Linked DNA regions of Schizosaccharomyces pombe. The protein of the gene in region 1 purifies or fractionates together with the protein of each later gene. This does not show direct contact. Each region holds a gene or a part of one and is shown on either strand. Other genes may lie near its edges.

What was found.
Region 2: the proteins of nse1 (region 1) and mms2 purify together in Schizosaccharomyces pombe (affinity purification with mass spectrometry, with the first as the bait; one study listed by BioGRID). This does not show direct contact.

The regions. Positions count from the first base shown.
Region 1 is NC_003421.2:1,191,813-1,196,589, forward strand, and holds nse1 (Smc5-6 complex ubiquitin-protein ligase E3 subunit Nse1), read left to right. Parts: upstream 1-2,174; 5' UTR 2,175-2,384; coding exon 2,385-2,963; intron 2,964-3,011; coding exon 3,012-3,131; 3' UTR 3,132-3,605; coding exon of another isoform or gene 3,606-3,920; 3' UTR 3,921-4,211; downstream 4,212-4,777. Other genes in the region: gpi2 (pig-C family GPI synthesis protein), read right to left, coding at 125-182, 239-408, 455-602, 661-1,259; protein Hsp10, read right to left, coding at 3,606-3,920.
Region 2 is NC_003421.2:1,364,967-1,368,515, forward strand, and holds mms2 (ubiquitin-conjugating enzyme Mms2), read left to right. Parts: upstream 1-1,629; 5' UTR 1,630-1,654; coding exon 1,655-1,665; exon of another isoform or gene 1,666-1,712; coding exon 1,713-1,851; exon of another isoform or gene 1,852-2,014; coding exon 2,015-2,140; exon of another isoform or gene 2,141-2,248; intron 2,249-2,318; coding exon 2,319-2,398; intron 2,399-2,447; coding exon 2,448-2,511; 3' UTR 2,512-2,739; downstream 2,740-3,549. Other genes in the region: Hsp20 family protein, read left to right, coding at 256-675; protein mix23, read right to left, coding at 2,827-3,281, 3,341-3,389. UniProt on the Schizosaccharomyces pombe protein: Has a role in the DNA error-free postreplication repair (PRR) pathway. Lacks catalytic activity by itself. The ubc13/spm2 heterodimer catalyzes the synthesis of non-canonical poly-ubiquitin chains that are linked through 'Lys-63'.

The DNA.
Region 1 (4,777 bases):
CAAGTTTGGATACAAGACATGTCATGCCATCATGAAGGATTAGACTGAAAGACGGCCAGTCGTAAAAAAAATAATATATTTTTTCGCAAAACGTAGTCAATTAAAAGCAAGCTCGCGAATTAGGCTAGCCCTTACTTGGACCTAGCTTTGGTAATGCAATATCCCAGGGACCGTGAATTTCACTAAGATATATATGTGAGAATTTAGAAAGAAATAATAAAATAAAATAATTACATACTTTTTAAATCTTTGAAGCTTAATAAACCAAATGGGACATATAAACGAAATGAAAAATATTAATGAAAGAAAGACAAACGCAATAACAACAGATGCAACAGCATTCAAAGCAATATATGCACTTATGATCAATACGAGGGTCATAAGCATGTCAGCGTAAAAAGAGAAAACCTGTAATTGGTTAAATAAAAGAAAAGGCCAATAAATTGCTTCTTACATGAATGTATTTGCGAAAAATGGGGAATAGTGCAAACCAATGAACGGCAAAAAGAATAAAAAAAAATACATTAATTGACTTTTCCAGTCGTGAAGCTAGAACAACAGATGCACTCAGCGCCGCATTTGTTGATAAAGAATTGTGTAGCCTAAAAAGAAAAATAATTAGAAATGGAATTAATTACGATGAAGTTTCCAAAGACGTACCTGACATGAGGTCTGATAGTTTCCGTCGTATATTCATGAAAAAATACGTTCGCAAGGAAAAGCCAAACAGCAATAGCCCAAACTGAGTCAGGAGAGGTAGATTTTGTTAATGACATTAGAATTGGCGATAGACCAGCAAGCGTAAGAACAATTAATATACAAGATTTAACGATCCCCATGTAATTAGGAAAAGTTCTATTGTTACAAGGCTTTCTCAACACAAAATCCCACAAAATGAATGCCGCGACCGCAGAAACATTTGACACGAAACCAACAAGCGCACAAGATAACTGGTTCCTATAGATCGAAACGAAAACCGAGGCAAATATAACTACGCTTGATAGATGCTGGGAGACAGGTAAACTATCGGCCACTAAAGACCAAAAGTCAGTGACTTGAATGTTAACATTTCGTTGTAAGCCATTCAAAAAAGATTCATCAATGAAGTTATCTGGGTAATCTTGTTTCCTCCATAAAACCTTTTTCCAAGGTTTCTTTAGTTCAACAACTTCTTTTACAGAGGCTTTCCTGAACGTGTTCAAGACGAGTGATTTCGCGACCATCTTTTTGGGCGCTGGAGCAGCACATACTTCATCCATTCAGTTTTAAAGTAATTTATAAATCAACTAAATAACTACATTCGTCCTAAACTCTCATACAAATTAAGCTGAATTTGCTTCCAATACCGTATTTTCAACAGTTCTTAGAGTAGTTGGATTTGGTTAACATCGACTGACTATAATATAAGTTGACTAGTACTGTATGTTTGGGTCCGCAAACAAATAAACCACACTTTCCTAATTTAATTCATATATATCTACTTTAAAAAGTACATTCAGCATCGTTAAGAGTTTTTATTCCCAAGAAAATGATTTAACTGCATGACTCTGAATATAGGGTTGTTCATGAAATCTGCAATCGCGCATACTCGCAATTGGACTTTAATCTATCAATTGACAATTCAAGTGATAAAATTTACGACTGAACTCTTATAAACCCGAATTCAAGCATTCTAGTAAGCTAATAAGTCAACATTAATTATAAACAATTATTCTAAATTCAACGAAAAGTAAACTTTCACGAACAGGGTTTACATTTTACGAAAAATATGTGTATTCTTTCTAACTTTCCCTTATTCAAAAACTGCAAAAGGTTATCTCTTAGTTTCCTATTCTTGATGTACGTTTAACTCGTAGTGTTATAAAATACTTGAAAGCTAAATGTGCGTGGTACAATAAGATGATCAGTAGAAAAATATGCTGTTTTTTTTTTTTTAAAATAAATATAATAAATGTTCTTGTTCCATTGCTTGCATCTGTATGTTTTCTAACCATGTTTATGTGCGTAAACAATAGAAAGAAAAGGATAAAGAAAGAAATTTCACAAAAATATATAGCATAAATTTTTTTTAAAAAAAAGAAAGGAATATCTGCTGCTTTTCACAAATTGTTCTAGCTGCGCGTATTTAATGGTAATCAAATTTTGTTTCACACTGAATACTGATTTCATCTACTACCAACATATACCATTACACTGTATGTTTCATGATTGTCAATATATGAACGGACTATTTTAAGACAAAAAATCGAAACGACCATAAAAATTTGATAAAAAATTGAAAGGAAGCTAGGCGTTTTGTGCGTGTTTGTTTAAATTTGCATTGGTCAATTAACGCGTCAATTAGTAATCAAAATAGTAGAAATACAAAAAAAGGAATAAACGGTATGGAGAAAGAGAGACAAGATGGATTATCTGACAAGCATAAATTCATTCTTCAATATATAATGTGTCGCACAGCTGGTGTTGATAATGAACAAGTTCGTGAACTTGTTCAAGAGCAGTATGGAGAAACGGCAACTGTAGAAGATGTAATAAATGAATTGAACAATTCTTTGCACAATTTCGATTTTAAGATAAAACGAGTACAGGATCAACTGGATGGAAGATTAACGCTGCACTTTCAGAATTTATCTGGAGACCCAGTATCCCAAATGGCTACTCCTTACCCTCCTGTTCAGATAGAACTTATGAGAAAGATAATCGAATGGATCATGAAGTGTGATGATTACCAATATTCATTAACGACTCTGCAAATCCAAAAATTATCGAGAAAAGAAATGGGATTGGCACCTAGTGTTATTGAGTCTCACTTACATACGTTTGAACGTGATGGATGGCTAAGACAGAGAGAGGGTATTTGGACATTTACGAATCATGCGTTAGCTGAATTGGATGCTTATTTACACAACGAATACGAGAGCAATTTATACGAATGCAACGCTTGTCGCGAAATTGTAATTGCTGTAAGATACATATCACAAATGCAAACTTACTAACTGAATACCTTATAGGGATATGTATGTGATTGTGGCTACTGCTTGCATGTTTACTGTTGCAAGCATTTAGCTCATGTTAATTGTATAAATTGTAACACGCCATGGGCAAATGCGACCGTTATAGGACGCTGGTAATTTTTTCACTACCTACTGGTGTTCGCTTTACTTGTTTATACATTTGGGCTACTTGGGAAAGGATATAGAAAACTTATAAAATTAACAGTTTTTAATGTTGGAAAAAAGGGTTCGTAATTAAACTATGTGGAGAACACTCGCATTTTAAACTGAAATCGTTAAAATTCAGGTGAAGGGTTAGACTCATAAAACACGAACTCAAAATCTTCTTTACAAAAAAATAAAAGAGAAATGACATCGATCATCAAACGCATAATCACTGTCATTTTCTTTAAAAATGTCCGCATTTACATCACATTTAAATCTGAGTGCAATCGTCCTTAAAATTAGAGCTGTTAAAAAAGCCATCTTGTACCAGTTTATCGTAATTTGCTGCAAGAACAATAACAAAAGATGTTTTTGCGTCCAACAGCTTTTTTTTTAGTATGCTTAATAGGCAGTGGCTGACGAAGAAAAAATTACCCATTAATTAATTTATTCCTTGATGATAGCCAACAACTCGTGATCACGGTACAACGAATACTCCTCTTCGCCCACCTTGATGTTGCTTCCACCATAAGCAGGCAGCAAGACACGATCACCAACGGCTACGCTGGGTTGAGCCAGTTTACCTTCCTTGTTATAACCGCCCTTTCCGACGGAAATAACACGACCTTCGGATAACTTTTCAACGCTCTTCTCAGGTAGAAAGATACCAGAAGCGGTTTTGGTGTCGGCCTTGATACGTTGAACCAGAATACGATCCAAAAGAGGCACGATTGACTTGGCGGATTTCAGTTTGGTAGCCATGTGAAAGAATGCAAAATGATTTTAAAAAAAAGCCTAACAAATACAAAAACTGTGGTTAATGCCAATATATTTCCGTCAAAACTTGTTCGTTTTGGGCAAGTGCTCAGTAGCTTCAGTTGAAGCTGTGATCCTCCTTATTAATCTTTTGCAGATCATCTGGAAAGTTCTACCAAAAGTTTATTTTGCGTTAATACTCAAGGTTCCGGTAAAACACAATGCGAGATTCGGCTCCAATATGCTATATTTTAATAATGTTAACTACGCAGTTTGGTATCTGTTTTAACGACACGCAGAACTGCGGTGAGTTTTCCTTGTGATTTAATATATAGTGTAGTATAGCTGACATTGCCCTCCCCAAGATTTTCTATGTAAATCTGAGGATAAGTCATATGTTCTCAAATATTTAGATTATTGTTTTTAATATAATCATTGACAATTGCTTTGTCCGCTTGTAGCGCTGTAGCTAATGTAGTCCATCCTGACATAATAGTACTCGGATTTAGATTCGAAATGTACTTAACGTTTAAATAGAGTACTTGTTCTCTATTTTTATGTTCTAGGATATGGAGAATTGTTCCTATGTCGGATTCATCAATGGTAGCGTAATTGAGTTCTGAATTATGTCGATACTTTTCTAGGTGAGAAACATGAAAAGTAGATGGAAACATGTGCTTGATTGAATCTGGAAGATCCAATTCATAGTTGTTTGGGCCCGACTTCTGTTACACATAGAACGGTCCTGCAAAACTGACACGTATCATACATGTGATGCAAATCACAGTAAGTGTAGTTATGTCGTGAATTACTAACATTTACTTTACAATTAAAAGATAGAGTATATAAAAATGGTATTGCTG
Region 2 (3,549 bases), 170 kb from region 1:
AGATGGTATTTTCATTGTTTTGTGCACCCCATTGTACCATTGAAATGTCTTGTTTTATTATATTGTTACAGAGAGAATATTCTGGTATATTTAACAAATCCCGGTTTTTGCCTACGCATATATATGTAGCATCACCAACCCACACGTACTTAGGATATCCGAAACGCAATTGTCCTTCAATTTGCTTACGCTTTGATTAATTATTACTCATCTTAATCAAAGTTAAATTTTTATTTCATTGTAAACACATTTAATATGTTGTTTGATGCTTTTACTAACGGATTTATGAATGATATTTTTGAATTTGGTGACCGATCGAAATTCAACAGATCGGCATGGTTATCGTGCTGGGGCCCAGCATTGGAGCTAAGAGAAACAGAGGATACTATTGAAGTTGATGTTGAAGTCCCTGGAATCGATAAGCAAAACCTTAAAGTTGATTTACATGGATCGAAGTTGACTATTTCTGGTGAGCGTAAAAAGCCAGAGGAAGAAAAAGCGGGCCCTCTTATTCGCTGGAGTGAAAGATGTGTAGGTGCTTTTTCACGTACGATAACCCTTCCTCAGCCTGTCGATGAAAAACTTATACACGCTTCTCTTAACAATGGTATCCTAAGCATTGTTATGAAGAAAAAGAACCCTGAGTTTACGACAAGAATTGTTGAAATTCAGTAGTTTCAAATACTCAATGCTAATTTAAACTATAGCATTGTCTTTTTTTGGTCCTGGCATTTTAATGCTTGTTTTATGTTTGTTCACCACCTTTTTTGCATGACATCCGATAAACTGCATGTAACAGATAAAAACCAAAGTACTACCCTCCTTTAAGAGAAATTTGATTATTAACGGCTATATATTCTCAAGCATGGCTTCATACGCTTGGCATCGATTTGCTCAAGTATCAGGCTTATTGCTAAATAACGGAGGATTAATATATTATGAGTTCTATTCATAATCTATGAAAGTAAATGAAAAGCTATTTTTCTCCCTTCTATCTGAAAATGGGATATCAGACTGCTACAAAATTAAATAAAATATTGGCAAGTTTTACGTTATCAATACACTACAGAAATAGGATAAATTCTAACAAATTAATGATTTGTATTTTTACATTTGATATGTTTTTAGAATACATCGTTCAAAGGATATTTGACTTCACTTTTGACCTTGGCAAAAAGTTGATTTTTTATCTTTTTCCAATGTAGGGAAAAAATATTGAAATTGCAGCCTGTGACAGGTTCACTAAACCAGTATTGAATATTCTATAAAGTAATTGTTGAAATATACTTTGACAGATTGCTAGCCTTGGTTCGAATGTTTTCGAGACCCAACTTTAACCAAATGTTACAGTAATTATTGATGGTTTTGGTATCTATCCTGTATTCTTTATTCTTCGAATAGTTTCGTTGATCGAATATTAGAAAAATTTATTCTCTGTAATCATGCATTTGTATTTGTAATGTATTAATCAAGTAAGGAAGAGAAGGTACTCACGGATCTGCTAGGACTATTAATCTAGACACAATTTAGATTCAAATTACAATAATTCAATATAAAAGCACCAATTTGAATCTTCAGATCTTGTTTTGAAATGATCAACAAAGATACTGTGAGATCCGAATGCACCGCATCCATTAACCAAGTACCACAAACGATGGCAAAAGTGTATGATTAGACATATTAAAGTCGATAACAATTACTAATTTTGATAGCCCTCGCAATTTTAAATTACTTGAAGAGCTAGAAAAGGGCGAAAAAGGCCTCGGAGAGAGTTCTTGCTCATATGGTTTGACGAACGCCGATGATATTACATTGTCCGACTGGAATGCAACGATTTTAGGACCTGCCCATGTATGTTTCTATTGGGGTATATTTCAAGTGTTAAATTGATGTAAAAAAAATGACCGGGGACTAGCTTTGAAATTTATGAAGACTTTCGAATCAATACACTTTGAAGCTTATCCTGTTTTAATACTTTTAACTTTCAATTTGTACTAATTTGTTATTAATTTAGAGCGTTCATGAAAATCGCATTTACAGTTTGAAGATTCACTGCGATGCCAATTACCCTGATGCTCCTCCCATCGTCACGTTCGTATCTAGAATTAATTTGCCTGGAGTTGATGGTGAAACAGGAAAAGTATGTGTATATTAGAGAAAGTTTGTAAAATACCTCATGTTCTCTGTAAATTCTTTTCATAGCAAATATCAGTATATTGTATGAAAATGAGAATTTGGTGTTGGCTTAACGAAGAGAAGCTAATTTTACGCGAAATAAAAAAATCAAGCTTTTTTCAGTTCATACTAACGTTAATTAGGTAAATCCCCACAAAATTGACTGCCTTCGCCATTGGAAGAGAGAATACTCTATGGAAACTGTTCTTCTAGATTTAAAAAAGTATGTCTATTAAACTTCGTATGAATGATCATCCTAACTTATGTTTTAGAGAAATGGCATCCTCTTCCAACCGAAAACTTCCTCAGCCCCCTGAGGGTAGTACATTTTTTTAAAGCAAAAAAGGAACTCTCATAGTACAGAATCTTTCAGCTATTGTTCCTATTATTCGATCGCTGATGGTGGCCTTCTTAGCTTACATTATCCATAGTTTCGACACTATGTGTATTCCTATTTTCCTTTTTTGCTTTCTTTACATCAACGATCCTTAAAACATGCAAATTACATTACAAAATGATAACTTACAATACCTAAAGATATTAATTCTATACCTGTATTTGACATTTTGGTGTTGTGTATTTATGTGTCGGAATTTTTATTGTAAACATTTCTTTTAGAATCATAAAAAAATTTGAGGCTACAAAAAGTAATTAGTCTTTATAAGTGTCTCTCCAATCCTTAAACATTCCAGGACAAGCATTTGTCAGAACTTCCCACGTTTGATCTCGTATGATTTGTTCGACAGATAGTTCACTTTGTAAGACAATTTGTACCTCTTCCGGAGGGGATAATTGCACTTGCACCTCTTTAGCGTAAGGATCCAAACGTTCGGAAACCTGAGTCGTTGATGATGAAGGCAATTGCTGCTGTGATTTTAAGGGTGATTTGGAAGTATTTCGATCTTGATCAAGTTGTGATCGTACAATAGTTTGACATTCTTTTAAGAATTGATCCCGACTTAACCAACCTTCGAACAACTTTTTCTTTACGTTTTGACAACGCTCTTCTTGGGTTTCATGTACCTTCCCTTCTGGGTATTCCCATTTTGCTGAATTAAGAGATAATTGGATGGTATCGTCTATCTTTCTAGCTTTCCTCAAAACATCTAAAAGTATGATTAGTATTGGATGAATTGGTTGTGTAAAAAAAACAGTGTTCGCATACTTTTCAAATACCTTATATTCATGCAAAGACCCCGTTTTTCTTCATTCATTGTGTTTAATATCAATTTTGTTTTCCTAATTAATAGTTTATTAGAGGGGATTTTGGTTTTTGAAAGAAAGACTCAGTCGCCTGGTAAATTCGTTCTTTGTATGTGTGTGCTAATTACCAAATGGGGCCTATTTGATTGAAATGTAGCTTTCGGCTACCAT